2 linked regions of the Ovis aries genome follow. The protein of the gene in region 1 purifies or fractionates together with the protein of each later gene. This does not show direct contact. Links are inferred from orthologs where the notes say so. Each region holds a gene or a part of one and is shown in the gene's direction. Other genes may lie near its edges.

What was found.
Region 2: the proteins of PSMD6 (region 1) and PAAF1 purify together in Homo sapiens (affinity purification with mass spectrometry; 3 studies listed by BioGRID and IntAct, with this or other methods). This does not show direct contact. The link is inferred for Ovis aries from reciprocal best matches to the Homo sapiens genes PSMD6 and PAAF1.

Annotation. Positions count from the first base shown.
Region 1 is NC_056072.1:37,546,158-37,554,293, forward strand, and holds the start of PSMD6 (26S proteasome non-ATPase regulatory subunit 6), read left to right. Parts: upstream 1-4,054; 5' UTR 4,055-4,106; coding exon 4,107-4,251; exon of another isoform or gene 4,252-4,619; intron 4,620-4,859; coding exon 4,860-5,065; intron 5,066-7,799; coding exon 7,800-7,945; intron 7,946-8,136.
Region 2 is NC_056068.1:52,056,856-52,064,991, forward strand, and holds the start of PAAF1 (proteasomal ATPase-associated factor 1), read left to right. Parts: upstream 1-3,667; 5' UTR 3,668-3,689; coding exon of another isoform or gene 3,690-3,736; intron 3,737-4,049; exon of another isoform or gene 4,050-4,216; intron 4,217-4,661; 5' UTR 4,662-4,681; coding exon 4,682-4,773; intron 4,774-4,922; coding exon 4,923-5,033; intron 5,034-5,291; coding exon 5,292-5,332; intron 5,333-7,261; exon of another isoform or gene 7,262-7,380; intron 7,381-8,136. Other genes in the region: cytochrome c oxidase assembly factor 4 homolog, mitochondrial, read right to left, coding at 704-958. UniProt on the Homo sapiens protein: Inhibits proteasome 26S assembly and proteolytic activity by impairing the association of the 19S regulatory complex with the 20S core.

The DNA of each region.
Region 1 (8,136 bases):
TCTGAAGTGTTACAGTGAGATTTCCTAGTGAATAGAGAGGAGAGGAGAGAGAAAAAGAGATACCGGGGAGAATCCACTTCCTGCTCCAGTCTTCCTCTAGCTTGCTAGGTGAGGCTGTCATCCTGAGCGTGCTCTTCGTTCCATCCCAGGGGTTCCTCTCCTCTTGGTTGGATTCCTCCTTTTCTGGGTAGAGTTTCTCCTCTGTGATTTTCTTCCTGAGAACAGGTGCACGGGACGTACGTTTGAGAGTTTTGTGGGTCTTCCAATGCTCATATATTCATTCTGTAATAAAGGCTGAGAATGGGATTCTAGAGTGGAAATCTCTTTGTCTTGATCTTTGAAGGCCTTGTTCCACGGTCTTCTGGCCCACAGTGTCACACTTCAGAAAATACAAGTCATTCTGATTCTTACTCATTTCCAAGTGACCTTTTATTTCACTATTTTTTTTCAAGTGTTGGCCATTCTATTCTATTCTATTCTTGGCTACGCTGCAGCTTGTGGGATCTTAGTTCCCAAACCAAGGATTGAACCCCGGGCCACGGTAGACAAAGTGCCAAGTCTTAACCCCTGGACCGCCAGGGAATTCTCATTTTCTTTGAAAACCTTTGGAATTCTCTCTTTGTATTCATTGTTCTAAGTTTTCAGAGAGAGGTATCTTTAAAAAAAAAGGTCCGTATTGCTGACTACTCAGTGGATTCTTTCCACCTAGAGATGCCCTGTGCTTCAGTTCTAGAATATCTCAGTTTTTACTATTCTCTCTTTCTCAGACTCTTATTCAGGTGGTGGCTGTCCTGACTGCTACTGTCTGAACACCCTCAGGGAGTTTCCCAATTCAGATTCTCCAGGAGAAAACAGAGTTTTCCCAACCAGCTTGAGCTGAGACAAGCCAGATGAGTCATGACCTGCCAACCAGCCAATGTGCCAGTATCCTTCAGCTTCACTTCATCTGATCAGCTTTGGGTCACATGACAGAGGGGTACTCCTGAGAGGCATTTGGGGACAGGCTTATTTCATTCAGATAGAGCTAGTTAGAAATATTCTTTGCTGTCAAATCTTTGGTCAAGTAATAGATTCTGGGCTAGAAATTTTTTTTTTCAAGTAAGTTGTAAAAATATTTTAAATATGATATACATTTCTCTTTAGATGAACGTTCCAGATGGATCAAAGATTTAAGTGCAGAAAGCAACAAAAAACAAAAGAGAAATGCATCAATATGCCAGAGGAAAACATGGGTGAATATTTTTAAAACCATGGTGTTGGAAAGGTCTTAATAGGACTTGATAATGCTTTCATGGAGCATAAAGGAAAAGAATCATAAATTTAACTGTATAAACATTATAAACATCTACATTGAAAAAATTCATTAAAAATGTAAAAAATGACTATAGGAAGTTTTGCATTTCTTGACAAGCAGTTATATCCTGAAGATATGAAGAGTGCTCGGAGATCAATACGGAAGATTATGTAGAGGAATTGATAAAGCAAGGTAGGAGTTTCAGCAAACAGGAAAAAAGAGGTCAGCACAAATGTGAAAAGAAATTCAACCTCACAATAATAAGAGAAATGTAATGGAAAGCAAAACACGTTTTGTTGCTGAAGATTAAAATGGGTGAAGAAAAGGTCTTGGCAGAGAGGGAGACAGGCTCTCTGTTTAATGTTGGTGAGAATGTGAGTTGGTATTTAATTTGTAGAAAAATAATTTATATAATCCTTATCTACTATGTCAAAATATAAAATGTACAGACCCTGTTAATTAATAGTTTCACTTCTAGAGATTTGAGATAAGGAATAACAAACCAAATGTGAAAACATATGCACATAGATGGATCAACTTGGTGGTATCTGAAAATGAGGGTGAGAAAATGAAAAATATTCAGACTGATAGGAGTTAAGGATTACATACAAGTAATGGCCTCCTGTGTAGTCATTAGAAGTGATGATGTCAATCCATATTTACTGGCATGAAAAGACACCCACCCTACATAGTGAGTGAAGAAAGCAGTTCATAAGGTACAAGTTCAAAACGAGCCTATTAATATGTAACCTAGATGAGTTTCAGTGAAACTAAGTGTCTAGAGTGTAAGTTCCATGCAGACAGGGCCCACATTTTCTTCACTGCTGTGTTAGGGGCTATGTCTGTGCCTGGTACTTTGCAACCTTGCAATAATGTTTGTTGAATGAATGAATGAAAGAGGTTTACAAGGTTCTTTGTCCTTAGGGCACTTGGTCGCTCAGTCCTGTCTGACTCTTTGCAGTCCAATGGACTGTAGCCTGCCAGGCTTCTCTGTTCTTGAGATTTCCCAGGCAAGAATATGGAGTGGGTTGCTATCTCCTACTCCAGGGGATTTTCTCAACTCAGGGATCAAACCCATGTCTCTTGCGTTTCCTTCACTGGCAGGCAGATTCTTTACCATTGCACCGCCTGGGAAGCTCCATAAGTTTAACATGGAGGAGTGTTGGTGATTTTTCCTGTGTTCTCAGCATTTTCTCTGTCATTTGAGTTGCCTTCAAGATATTTATTTTTTTACCAAAAACAGACACAATATTAAAAACATATGGTAATGCCTTCTGCTGGTGAGAATGTGACAGTTGCAAATGGTTCAGTAGCTGTGTAAATGGTTTAAGTCTCTCTGAAAAGCATTTAATATTCAATATCTGAAAATCACAAAGCATGTCTTCTTTGTGCCTATCAACCCTGCATGGGAATTTATGCTAAGGGGAAAAAAATGTAAAATACAAAATACCCTGTGCATTCCAAGGTGTTCACCTTGGTTTTTATAATAGGAAGATAACAACCTTAGACAACCTAAAGGCATTTCTAATGGAAGGGAGAGTAAGTAAATTACGAAAACCCACTAGGTGAAATTTCATGTAACCTTTACCAGTACTGAAGACTGTAGCAATATGAACAAAAAGAGGCTGAAAATATAGGCATGCGACGCTTTAAATTATGAATAAAGCTGTGGTGCTATGGTGTTAAGACTGGAACTCTGGGAGCCACTTTCTGAGAATCATGGAAGGAACACGGATTTTAGAGCTCCAGGCAGAGGTTTTCATTCAGACGTAGACATTGCATAACCTTGGTTGATCATGTTCCCTAACTTATTTGTGCTTTGTTTTCCGTATCTACAAGATGGGGTGATAGTACTACTTCCTAGTGTTAAGAGAATTAACATGAGTTCCACATAAAAGTGGAAGTCTTCACAGATAGAGAGAACAAACTAGTGGTTACCAGTGGGGAGAGAGAATTGAAGGGCATTCAGGAGAGGGGAGTGAGAGGTACAGACCATTAGGTATAAAATAAGCTACAAGGATCTGTTGTACAACACGGGGAATACAGCCTATTTAAAAAAAAATAATAACTATAAATGGAGTTGTTGTTTAATTGCTAAGTCACATTTGACTCTTTTGCCATTGTATGGACTGCAGCCGCCAGGCTCCTCTGTCAGTGGGATTTCCCAGGCAAGAATACTGGAGTGGGTTGCCATTTCCTCCTTCAGGGGATCTTTCCAACCCAGGGATCAAACCCACATCTGCTGCATTGCAGGTGGACTCTTTATCATTGAGCCACCCGGGAAGCCCACTATAAATGGAGTATAGCCTTTAAAGCTTATATAATATTGTACAGCAACTATGCTTCTATATTTTTTTAAGAAATGGGTACAAGAAGAAAGGTAAAAGGGGAAGAGTAAGGCCTAGACAACTGTAGTGGTTGTTTTTTGTTGTGGTGGTTGTTACTGTTGTTATTATTATAGTTTCAAAATTCTCAAGATTGCCAGTCTCTTAATTACAAACGGATTGGAAAATGAAATAGCTAAAAAATGGAGGGAGAAAGTGGTTCAGGAAATCCAACTTTGGAGGTGGGTACCACCCTCCCTGGGACTCTCCTAGCTGAGAGTGGGGGAAAACCGCGGGGACGGGTGAGCATATACGGGAGTGTCCAGCAAGGGGCGCTGCGGGCGGAGGCGGAGCTGGGACCGGAAGCCGAGCTGGAGGCGTCCTGGCGCAGTCGGAGTCTCCTCCTACTTCCCCCGCCGCCGCCGCCGCCGCCGCCGGTCTCGGCTGTGAGTTGCCGTCTGTTCGGAACCGCTGTTGTCGCTGCCGAGATGCCGCTGGAGAACCTGGAAGAGGAGGGTCTGCCCAAGAACCCGGACCTGCGCATCGCGCAGCTGCGCTTCCTGCTCAGCCTGCCCGAGCACCGCGGGGACGCGGCGGTCCGCGACGAGCTGATGGCAGCCGTCCGCGATAACAGTGAGGCCCGCGGGAGCGCCGAGTCAGCGGCCTAGGCCCGGGCGGCCCCGCGCTCCCGAGCCTGAGGGGTTTACCCCGACGGGGACCCCGAGAGCAGACCTGGCTTATCCGCACCTCGGGGCTTTCATTTTCTCAGCACCTCCAGGCTTTCAGAGTGGTGTGCGGCTCTGTGCGCCTCCCGCCTTGGGACCAGGTTGGGGGGATCCCGAGGTGTTGAGCCCCGAGCCAGAGACAGGGCTACTTGTCATTAGCGACTGCTCTCGGGGACTTTAGCATTGCCGGTGGAGGGGAAACTTGGCATCGGTTCCTTCTGCCCTTCCCAGTAGTGATGGCAGCGGACGCTATAGCCTTAAGTGCACGAGTCTGAGGTGTGTGTGGCTGTGAAAAAGCCGAGGGTTGCCCTATCCCCGGCCCTAGGAGAGGGCGGCGGTGACAGGCCTGGTCCTGATGCTGGCCTCCCAGTAGCAAGCACCTCGTGGTGCCCAGCCCTTTCCTGCTAGTGGGCAGGGGTCCGGCGGACGACTTCACAGCTTGTGTGGGAGGAAGATGGGGGTGGAGTAGGGGTGGGGGGCCCACGCTTAAGTCACACCCCTCTTGCTCTCTCTCAGACATGGCTCCTTATTACGAAGCCCTGTGTAAGTCCCTGGAGTGGCAGATGGACGTAGACCTGCTCAACAAAATGAAGAAGGCAAACGAAGACGAGTTGAAACGTTTGGATGAGGAGCTGGAGGATGCAGAGAAGAATCTGGGGGAGAGCGAAATCCGAGACGCGATGATGGCAAAGGCCGAGTACCTCTGCCGGATAGGCGACAAGGTGGGTGAGGTGGTCTCTCCTGTGTGTGTAGCCTGAAATGGGCACTGTTCAGGGTCTCATTTTAAACATTAACTACCCCCTTCCAAAAACTGCACAGGTAATCTGCTTACCTGAGCTAGTGAGTCAGTGCAGAAATGAAGAAAAAGTGAATAGTTTTCTCTACACTGTTGCTCTCATCGGCCCCCCAGACAGCAGCCTGGTGTGTATTCTTCCCCATCTCTCCCTGTGATTCAGAGAAGTGCGTGTGCAGACATCCTTGTCTGCTGATCTTGCCAAACCTGGATGTTTTCTGTAGTTTACTTTCGTAACGTGTCTTGGTTGGGAAGCATTGGTTCTGGTGCATTTTAAAAATTACTGTTTAGGCAAGTAATTGTCTCCTTGTAAGAAACTAAAATCTTAGAGTTAATGCTGAAGTTTTATTTGCTCTTTCTTTTTTTCTGCCTCCTGAGATATTATCTTTTAATTCTCTTATTGTACATTTGTAGTCACATGGATGTACTTGTAGAAATTAGGCAGTATTGGTTTAAAAAGGTTGTTTTAAAGTGTATCAAGGTGTCCTCATGCAGTCCTGTTTAGTTTTTCTTTCAAAATTCTGTCTGCGCGACCATCCATGTTAGTGTGCTTAGCTCTTGCTTATTCTGGTTGACTGCTGGTTAGTAGCCCATTGTAGTAGGGTGATGTTGCGCTTTATTTAGCTATTCAGTGGTTGGACCTGTGTGGTGTTTTCAGCTGTTTTTGCTAAGATAGGCTGCTGTTGTAAAAATATGCTTGTGTGTGCCTCTGTGTATATGCTTGTCTCTCCAGCGTGTATGCTGAGATGAAATCTCAGGGACAGAGAACAGTCTTTGTCTGTGACTGTTCTTCAGCCCAGCAGCCAACCTAACTTATACTATCAGGGCATAAGAGGGGCACCTGCAAGTATTGGGTCTTTTAAATTTTTTAACCTAGTTATTGTATAATAGTGGTTAAGAGGATGGCTTTGGATGTCCTTAATTGTAAGCAGTGTACCCTGAAGTGTTTCGATAATGGATAACATGGCATTAACTTTAAAAAATTGAATACTATGGACTCTTGGGTCAGATTGCCTGAGTTCTGTTTCTGGCTTCAGTAATCATGATTTACTTAACTGGATGAGTTTCCTCAGCTATTAAATAGGAATAATGATAGTTCCCAGGGGCACAGGAGTTAGACTGGTACCTTGGCAAAGTGCTGAAATGTTAAATGATCTGAACTATTATTATTTAAATTTAACATAAGTTTTTTTTGTTTTTGTTTTTTCCCCCTGCTGACTATAGATTTAAGATCTGGTCATTGTAAAAGTTGAAAAATACGGGACAGTTTAAAATATAGCTAATAGTTTGTGGCTTTTGTAGGTGGTGTGTGTGCTTTGCTTTGGTTTGGTTTTAAACAGGATGCAGTATTATGAATGAATGAGAAACGTAGAGCTTTCAATTCAGGCCTTGAGGAATTTCAACAAGGATATGCTTGAATCCACATTTTGTCCATTGGTGATGTTCTAATAATGTAGTCCATGTTAATGAAATAGCACTCTTCTAAAATGAAGAGTTTTCTTTTCCTCCAGTTTATTGTCTGTCTAATCTTTGCCGGTGGCTGTGCTGCGTCTTCGCTGCTGTGTGGGCTTTCTCTAGCTGCAGCGAGCAGGGGCCACTTCTTGTTGTGGTGACTTCTCTTGAGGAGCGTGGACTCCAGGGCTCTCCGCCTCAGCAGTTGTGTCGCACTGGTCTAGTTGCCGTGTGGCACGCGTGGATCCTCCCAGACCAGGGATCGAACCCGTGTGTCTAGCGTTGGCAGGTGGATCCTTACCCACTGCGCCACCAGGGAAGCCCTACTTTTTTAATATTTTATTTTAGTTACTAAATAATCGACTTGGTGGATTTTTATTTCTCACTGTGCTGTATTGATCTCAGTCATTAGTATTTTTGGTGCTCAGTTTGTTACAGATTTGTTAGTGTAAGTTCCCTTAAGATGGATTTTTTGTCCTTTTGACATGATCTCAGTGGTCTTCCCTATTTTCTCATACAACAGGATGTCACAGGCTCACCTCGTTTTCTTTCTTCTTTTTTCTTTGTTGTTGTTTTTTTGTTCTTTGTTGTCTGGCCACATCACACAGCCTGTGGGATCTTGGTTCCTGAACTGGGGGTTGAGCCCATTCCCGCAGCAGCGGGAGCGCAGAGCCTTGATCCTAACTGGGCTGCCAGGGGAGTCTCCCATATTCATGTTCTTAAAGCAGTGAAAACTTTCCGTCCCACAGTGATTTGAGATGGAACTGTATATTCAAATAATCCGTTGCATTCTAAGAGTGATTACGGTAAAATTTTTTAATACTCTTTAGTTGTTAGGATTGATAATTTACAGGAGAGTAAAAGTAACGTATTGTAATTGTTAGAGGAAAAATATGGAATATATAGGACAAAGAAGAATACTGAAACAGTGGTGAACAAGTTATGAATGTGGTGGTTTTTCCTAGAATATAAGTATATGCTTAGACACATTTGATGTATCTCTTTTTTTTTTTTTTTTGATGTATTTCTTACACTTTGTACGCGTGGAGAGAACAGGTACCACCCAGCGTCAGCAGTTACCACCTCACGGCTGTACTCTCCTGACTCCACGCCTACCTCTCCCCCCCACTTTTTGCTTAGAAAATCCGAAAAAGCTGTAGCTTTCACAACACCTAACCTTTCCTCACCTGTTTGCTTTGTTCTCTTGGCAGGAAGGTGCTCTGACAGCCTTTCGCAAGACATATGACAAAACCGTGGCGCTGGGTCACCGACTGGACATTGTGTTCTATCTCCTTAGAATTGGTTTATTTTACATGGACAATGACCTCATCACTCGAAATACAGAAAAGGCCAAAACGTACGTTTTAGTGGTGGGGATATATTCCCTCTAAATTGCGATGCTATGATAAGAAATTGATAGCAGAAATCTGTTTCTTTTGTTTCCAACTGGTACACTTGGTCAAATAGTTAATGTACTTATTTAGGAAACTATTCTCTTTATATATTAGTTTTTGGTTTAAGTTGTGACAAGTTTTTCTCTCTTTAATA
Region 2 (8,136 bases), on another chromosome or scaffold:
TATGTTATGTTAAATTGCTTTTTAAACATCAAGTCAACTTTATGTATTTCTTTGGTTGGGAGCATGTTGAAATCAGACTCTGTATCTGTTAATACAACAGAGTCTGACATATGAGAGGCACTTAGTATTTGTTTTCCCATTTGCCTTCTTCCTTCCATTAGACTGACTGAAACATCCAGAACAACTGATGAAAGACAAAGTCATTTGTATCATTATCAGAAATTAGTTGTTCCAGTGTTTTGTTTCTCTCTCAAACCAGACTAAAGCAATATGAAGGGAGATATATTTGCATTACATCAGTTTCCTACACAGTGCATGGCACATGAGGTCTCATAAAACCAATTTACCTTTAGATTGTGAATTTACTTTAAAATTAAATGTCCATGTAATCAGCACAGTACTTGGCACACTGACCCAAGATGTAGCATAGGAGAGCATCCCTTAACCCCACTATTTTACATGGCAAATACTGGTCAATATTTAATATTGGTGACACAATATGGATGAGGATGTGTGGGATATCAATATGATAGCTCATGTCCAAACCCATGGCTGCCTGGCTCTCAGCCCCAGGCCCAAATACTATCCCCAAGTCTTAGAGTTCTTGGCACAAACTTCCACTGTTCAGGATTTCTTTCTCCCATGATCTGTCTGGGTGTTAGTTTCTGCAGGGCCATCCTCTGGGGATAGGTGGTCTGGGGTCTCAGTGGTGGGCGCTGCTTTGCTCTTTCAGCCTCTGCAGTTCCTCCCGTCGCCTTGCCTGCTGTTCACTCATGCAGTCCCGGAAGGCCTGCACCTGTGGCTGGCACTGCCTCCAGTCCTGGTGCTGGGCCATGCACTCCTGCACTGCATAGTGGGAAGCAGCACAGCCGGAGCGGGAGATGAGCTGGTCCAGCGGGTCCTCTTCTTCATCCTCCTTCTTCACCTGTCGGGACCAGGCATGGCCTTGAGCTGACATCTTCTGGAGTCTCTAGAATATCAATGGGAGCAAGGTTAGAGTAGGGACATGATTATATATGTTCCTCTGTTATAAACAACACTTACCACTGCACTGTTATAGCCTATTTATGCCTATGTCTCCCCTTGGAGATTGTGAGCTATTTGAGGACAAACACTGGGCCTGATTCATCCTGGTACCCCCAGCACCAGGCTTGCAAAATGGTCTCAACTGAACAGAATGAGATAAAGTATGTGAGAATGCTCAGCACAGCACTAATAAGCTCAAATGGGTTCTACTAATAGAATTGGAATTAGGTGAAATGTCACATATCTGGGGAAGCTATCTCTGTTCTCCTATTGGAGAAGCAATCTTCTTTTTTTCAATTAGCCTTATTCTATGGCTAGAGAAGAACAGAGTTTAGTACTTGAGAGAGTAACCATATATGGGTAGGGTTTGACATTTGGGAGAATGGAGAGTTGTGTGGAGAAAAGAGCATACAAGGTACAGGGCAAGAACTAAGTTTGTGAAGTGTGAGAATACTTAATGTGAGGTGCACTTGCCCACACTGCCTTTCCACGATCACCTGCTTCAGAGCACCCAGCACAAGGTAGCATATAGAAGGAACTTAAGAGAGGTTTGAAGATAAATGACTCAGCCTTTGTACAAATTTAACCATGACAGGCTATAAATAAGCTAAGACTCCTTAATGCCTTTCCTGGGTCTCTGATTCATTTAACAAATTATCATTGAGTATCTATCATGTACCAAGCTCTATGCTAGAGTTGAGAAAACAAGAGTGACCAAGACAGATACACTTCCTGCCTTCATAGAGTTTATAATTTAGGTAAGTTAAAAGGCTGATTACTTGTGTACAGTGTCTATAAACAGCTAAAATTGGGAAGACAGTGGAGACTACCTAAGCCAGACAAGGGGACAAACAGGCAGGGAAGCCTTCTTTTCTTGCAGAAAGTGATTTCTAGACTGAGACTTGAAAGATGAAAAGGGAAGAGCCAGAGATGTAAAGAATATTTCTAGTCAATGGAAGAGCAGGGTGGGGATTTGAGACAGAATTTGACATGAGATGAACTGAAAGTTTTACATGACTGGAGAATAGAGTATGAGAACAGGAAAATTAATGAAAGTGATGAGTTGAGAAAGTATCTGATCACAGGAAGACCACATGTTAAGTTGTCAAGAGGGCAATGGGGAAGTCACAAAAAGGTTTTAAGAACTCTATGAAAGTGAAAGTGTTAATCGCTCAGTCCTGTCCAGACTCTCTGATACTCCGTGGACTGTAGCCCGTCAGGTTCTTTGTCCATGGATTTCTCCAGGCAAGAATACTGCAGCAAGTTGCCATTTCCTTCTCCAAAGGATCTTCCTGACCCAGGGATTGAACCCAGATCTCCTGCATTACAGGCAGATTCTTTACATTTTGAGCCACTGGGAGAGCCCAAGAACTCTATAAGTTAAGTGAAGTTAAGTCACTCAGTCGTGTCCGACTCTTTGTGACCCCATAGTCAGTAGCCTACAAGGCTCCTCTGTCCATGGAATTTTCCAGGCAAGAGTACTGGCCCTACACAAAATTCATTTGCTTTGAAGGCAAGGGAGGAGGGAGAAAATGGGCTTCGAAAACAAACTTGGATTGGAAAATTAGCCTGGTCACTGACTCACTGGGATGCTTTGAGCAAATTACACTTTATAATCTCTCTTGAAAAACACACATCAAATCTATCTCACAGGACTGAAAACTAAATGAGATAATGCACGTAAGGAGCCTGGCACGTCCAGAGTTCAATAAATGATAACTCCTATTACTATACATGTTTCTTCTTTCTAAATATACTGAGCTCTTTAAAGGCAAGGGCAAGCCTCTTGAAACAATATGGTGGAAAGAACAGTGCCGTGGATTCTAAGCCAAGAAATCCGGATTCAAATACTGGCACCTCGTTTTACTATGCGCAAGCCTTAGCGTGCATTCCTTTTTTTTTTTTTTTTCCCCCGTTTTTTTGGCATGTGGGATCTTAGTTCCCCTACCAGGAAACGAACTATATAGTGTCCCCTATAGCGGAAGGGCAATCTTAACGACTGGACCACAGAGGAAATCCCTTAGTTTCCTTCCTTCTTAAGGTAATATTTAACTCACTTTACCGCAAGGAATAAGATGCTAATAAGGGACAAGTGCATGGGCTACGAAAGGACTTAATTCCCCACCTCAACCTGGCTTCAGTCTCTCATGAGTAAAAAGTGGAAGACCCTCGCTCAGAGACCAGGGCAGGATGGAAGGTCGGCAGTTGGTTCGCGAAGGCCAGCCTGGACTAAGAAGGCACTGAAAGGATGGGTAAGCAGAAAAACCCAAGCGGCCAAGTTACTTAAAACCACCACCTTCCGGAGAGGACGCAAGCGCACTCGCGAGCCCGCGCTGTGCCCGCTAGGCTTCACCGCGTAAGATCGCGGCACACAGTGCTCACCGAACAGGCAGACAGGAGGACTCGAACGCGCGCTGCTGCACAGCGGCGTCGGCTTCGCAGGCAGCTGTAACTCTACCGAATTACCCAGTAAACCTCGGGTCAGGAACCAGCTTCCTGCAAGGAGCGCGCGCGCAAAGGGGCGGGGAGAGAAGGAGAATACATCACGTATTTCCATTAGCGGCTTTTCGGGTAGATCCCGCCCTTCGTTCTCGACGTAGGCTCTGTGGGGCATCCACTTCCGGGAGAGAGCGGAAGGGGCGGGCTGGTGGAGGCGGGCCAAGATGGCGGTACCTTTGAGGATTCAGAGCGACTGGGCCCAGGCTCTCAGGTGAATCCAGGTCCAGAACTGGGACATAGGAGGCGGGTAGCGGATGTTGCCTTTACGTTAAGGAGCGCCATCCCCGACCCAGGATGTCCATAGGGGTTGCCTCATCAATTGTTGAGGGAACCCTGGGCCTAGAAGTCTCAAAGCCACATGGTCATTGTTTTTCCTTCTCAGAAGAGTTATGTATCCCAGGAAACACGTATGCGTCGTGTGATGGCAGAGGCAGAATAGCATCAATGAGTTGGAGAAAGACAGGAAAACTGAGAGGCAGGAAGACTCTTGGCCAAATAGTCATGGTCATTTAGCAAATACTTACTTATCAGCTATTTCCAAAAGTCCCAGCAATCTGCATTACCAGGAGTCTTGGCATCCTTCTCGACCCCTGCTGCTAAGTCACTTCAGTCGTGTCCGACTCTGTGCGACCCCATAGACGGCAGTCCACCAGGTTCCGCCGTCCCTGGGATTCTCCAGGCAAGAACACTGGAGTGGGTTGCCATTTCCTTCTCCAATGCATGAAAGTGAAAAGTGAAAGTGAAGCCGCTCAGTAGTTTCCGACCCTCAGCGACCCCATGGACTGCAGCCTTCCAGGCTCCTCTGTCCATAGGATTTTCCAGGCAAGAGTACTGGAGTGGGGTGCCATTGCCTTCTCCCAGTGGTGTGTTAGTCATGTTGTGTGTAGTCCATGGGGTCGCAAAGAGTCGGACACAACTGAGCGACTTTCACTTCACTTCACTTCACTTCACAGGTCTTTTCAGGGAACAGTGTAACACTTAAACCATGTCCAGACTCTGACCTAAATAGATGCTCGGCGGAGTTCAGATGTGTACTCTAAACTTAAGGGTGGTTTCTGCCTTTGAGACGCTAACAGCTTAATTGGAATGAACAACAAACCATTCATTTATTTATTGTGTATCATATACTGTGCAAGTTATTTTGCCAGGCACCAGAATGAGTACAGCCGTACCGAGATGTTCAGCCGCTAAGTCGTGTCTGCCGTGGACTACAGCCGGCCAGGCTCTTCTGTCCTTGGGATTTCCAAGGCAAGAATACTGGAGTGGGTTGCCGTTTCCTTCTCCAACAGCAGTGCCATGAATGGCAACTATTATACTAATAGGTTTTAAAAATGGAAACAATGGTGAAGATGAATGGAACATAGTCTCCTGAGTTTAAGAAACTTATGCCTTACTAGGTGGGCTGAAAAGAAACCTTATTACTACAACACCAGATGTGTAATAGGAGGAACACTGGCATTTATTGAGGACCACCTACCTTTGCAAGAACACAAGTTCAGAATCAAGAAGTAAGTTGCCCAGGATAGTGCAGCTAATAAGTGTTTCATGATGAAGTACTTGAGCTTCACTTAACTAACAGGTCTATGCATTAAACACAATCCATAAGTATTTCTTCAATAAAGTTTGTCTATGCCTGGATAACGTATTAGACTGATTTGTGTAAGTGCTCTGGCTAAACTGGAAATTATATGTTCTTTCTCCCCTTCATCAATAACATCCATTTTGACATTGAGTGAGTCTAATTACGTTTTTGTTTCTCTTCATAGGAAGGACGAAGGGGAGGCCTGGCTGAGCTGTCACCCCCCAGGTAATATCCTTAAATCTCTATGCCTTCCCTTTAGAGAAAGGATTTACAACCCCTAGGAAAGAGCTTCCTACTTTCTCCTGGCCTAGACTACTTGAACAGTGCTTCAAGTAGTCTTGAGATGTGCTTCAACAGTCTTCAGATGTTCTTGACCATTCTGTGCTGAATGGATGCCACTGCAACTCCTCCATTCTAGGGGAAGGGCTTCCTATTCGTGTCCCATTGGGAGCCACAGACATTTGTGGAGACATTGCTGCTGCATCTTAATCAGTGTCTTTGCCATATACTATTGTATTCTAGGCAGTTCTGTAGCTTCAGTTGTGATCTTCCTGATAATGATTCCTGGTCTACAGCTCTAGTTCTGACCTCTCTTCATTTTCAAGCAGAGATTGAATAGTTACCTGCTAAACATTTCTGGTTAAAACTCTCGCTGCTGTTTTGAGCTTATCAGATCCAGAATCTGATGCTGAGCGCGTCTGTTGTCAAACAGGTTTTCTTTCTAGATTTTCTCAGTTCTTAAGTTATCACTATTCTAGACATTAGAGTGAAAAACCTGGTGCCTCACCCTACCATATATAGTTAGTTCCCAAGTCTTCCAAATTTTTCCTTTCAATGACATTCCTGTATTATTCTCATCCATTTGTTTTCAGTTAGTGTGGTAACATTAAAATTTTTTTGCTTTTAAATTTGTAAGAAAGCTTTGTTTTGCTGATTATTTTTCATTTTCAGAGACCTTTGACGTCTCTCCATAATAAGATATTCTAGGAGAAATAGAGTTTTAAACAGTTTTCTTTGGAGGAAATTGGTGCTGTGTCAAAGAAAGGTGGTAGCTGGGAGGTCTCAGAATCAAGGATTTTTGTCTTATTTTTAAAGATGGGAACTAATTGGAGAGCAATTAAAATACAGGTTATACATTAAAAATATTCATCTTTGTTTCATTTAAAAATGCTGTGCTTAGTCACTCAGTTGTGTCTGACTCTGCAACCCCATGGACTGTAGCTTGCCAGGCTCCTCTGTTCATGGGGATTCTCTAGGCAAGAATACTAGAGTGGATTGCCATGCCCTCCTCCAGGGGATCTTCCTGACCCAGGGACTGAACTCAGGTCTCCCGCATTGTAGGCAGATTCTTGACAGTCTGAGCCACCAGGGAAGCCCTTATTTAAAAGTAAATAAATATATTTTAAAAAAAGAAACAAATACTTAGGCTGTAGGTAGAAAAGACGACCAGCTGAAAAATCAGTATCTTAGATGAGCGAGATTGAATTAAGTCTAAAAGAGTAAGATGAAAGGTGAGGGTAAGTGTAGATGTATTAATAGATACATGCATAGACCTGGATATAGAAATGTGAAATTTTCTTATAGCCTATATTTTCTTTGTGATGTTGGAGTTAGAGTCAGCTCTTAAAGAAGAGTTGTTTTCCCCTGAAATGGCAGTTTTGTTGAAATAAAATGCATGCTATCTATGTGCTAGATGTCAACCATAACATGTAGGGACTATTAGGATTTTGATCTTTTTTTTAAGATAATAACTGTTTTCAGATATAATTCACATACAGTAAAGTTTATCTTTTTAAAGTGTACAATTCAGTGGTTTCTAGTATATTCATAGAGTTGTGTGTCTGTCAGTAATTCTACACATTTTCATCACCTCTAAAAGAAACCTTATGCTGTTTAGCAGTCTCTCTACTTTCTCCCCTCCTCCTAGCTCCTAGCAACCGCTAATTGACTTTCTCTGTGGATTTGCCTGTTTTGGACATTGCTTATAAATAGAGTCATAATATGTGGCCTTTTGCACCTTTCATTTAACATAACATTTTCAAGGTTCATCCATTTTGTGGCATTCGTATGTTTTTATGGCCAAGTAATAGTCTGTAAGGACATATCACATTTTTTGTCCATTCATCAGCTGACGAACATTTGAATTGTTTCCAGTTTTTGGCTGTTATGCAGGAAGAAGGTTTTGCTGATAGGCTAGGTATAGTGAGAATTGGCTGCTCTGGGAACAAAAGGGACAAAAGGACTCCAAAACTACGCAGAGCTTGAAAACTGTGGTAAGTTGGAACGGCGCCAGTTTGCACAGCTGTGTCCTGTTCTGTATCTGCACTCAGCAGCCTATATGTAGAAATGTAGAAAGGTGAATGGTTAGATTAATCTCACTTTTGTTACACAGACAAGATACTGAGACTCAGATCGTTTCAGTAGCTTTGTAAATGTAGAGAGGTCATTGCCAGTGCTGACAGGAGATTGGTAGAAATAATATACCAAAAGGGCCAGACTTCCTAGGATAATTTGAAGCCAGGAGGGAATCATGGAGAGGGACAAAACGCGGAGTTCACTCAACCCTGTTTTTGTGGCATCTTTCTGAACTAACATTTCATGCCACTTCCCTGCCACACCTTCTTCACTAGATCTTCTCTAGTCCAGACTTCTACCCTAGATTGTGAGTTACTCCATTAATATCTTTCAGTGACTAAACTAGTATATTAATTGATGCCTCCTCTCCCCTTGTTCCTGTGTGACTGTTCTTTATTCTCGACATGCCCTTCCCTGACATGGAGTTTCCTTTCCCTTGTGCTCACTCAGTCATGACTCACTCAGACTCTTTGTGACCCCATGAACTATAGCCCACCAGGCTTCTCTTTCTGTGAGATTTTCCAGGCAAGAATACTGGAGTGGGTTGCCGTTTCCTTCCCCTTTCCTTTCCCTTATTTTCTGCCTAGTTGTATCTTTTAAGATCCTTCTCAAGTCCCACCCTCTCTAGGAAGCTCTCCTACTCTGAATGAATGACTTTGGCATGATGACTTTTA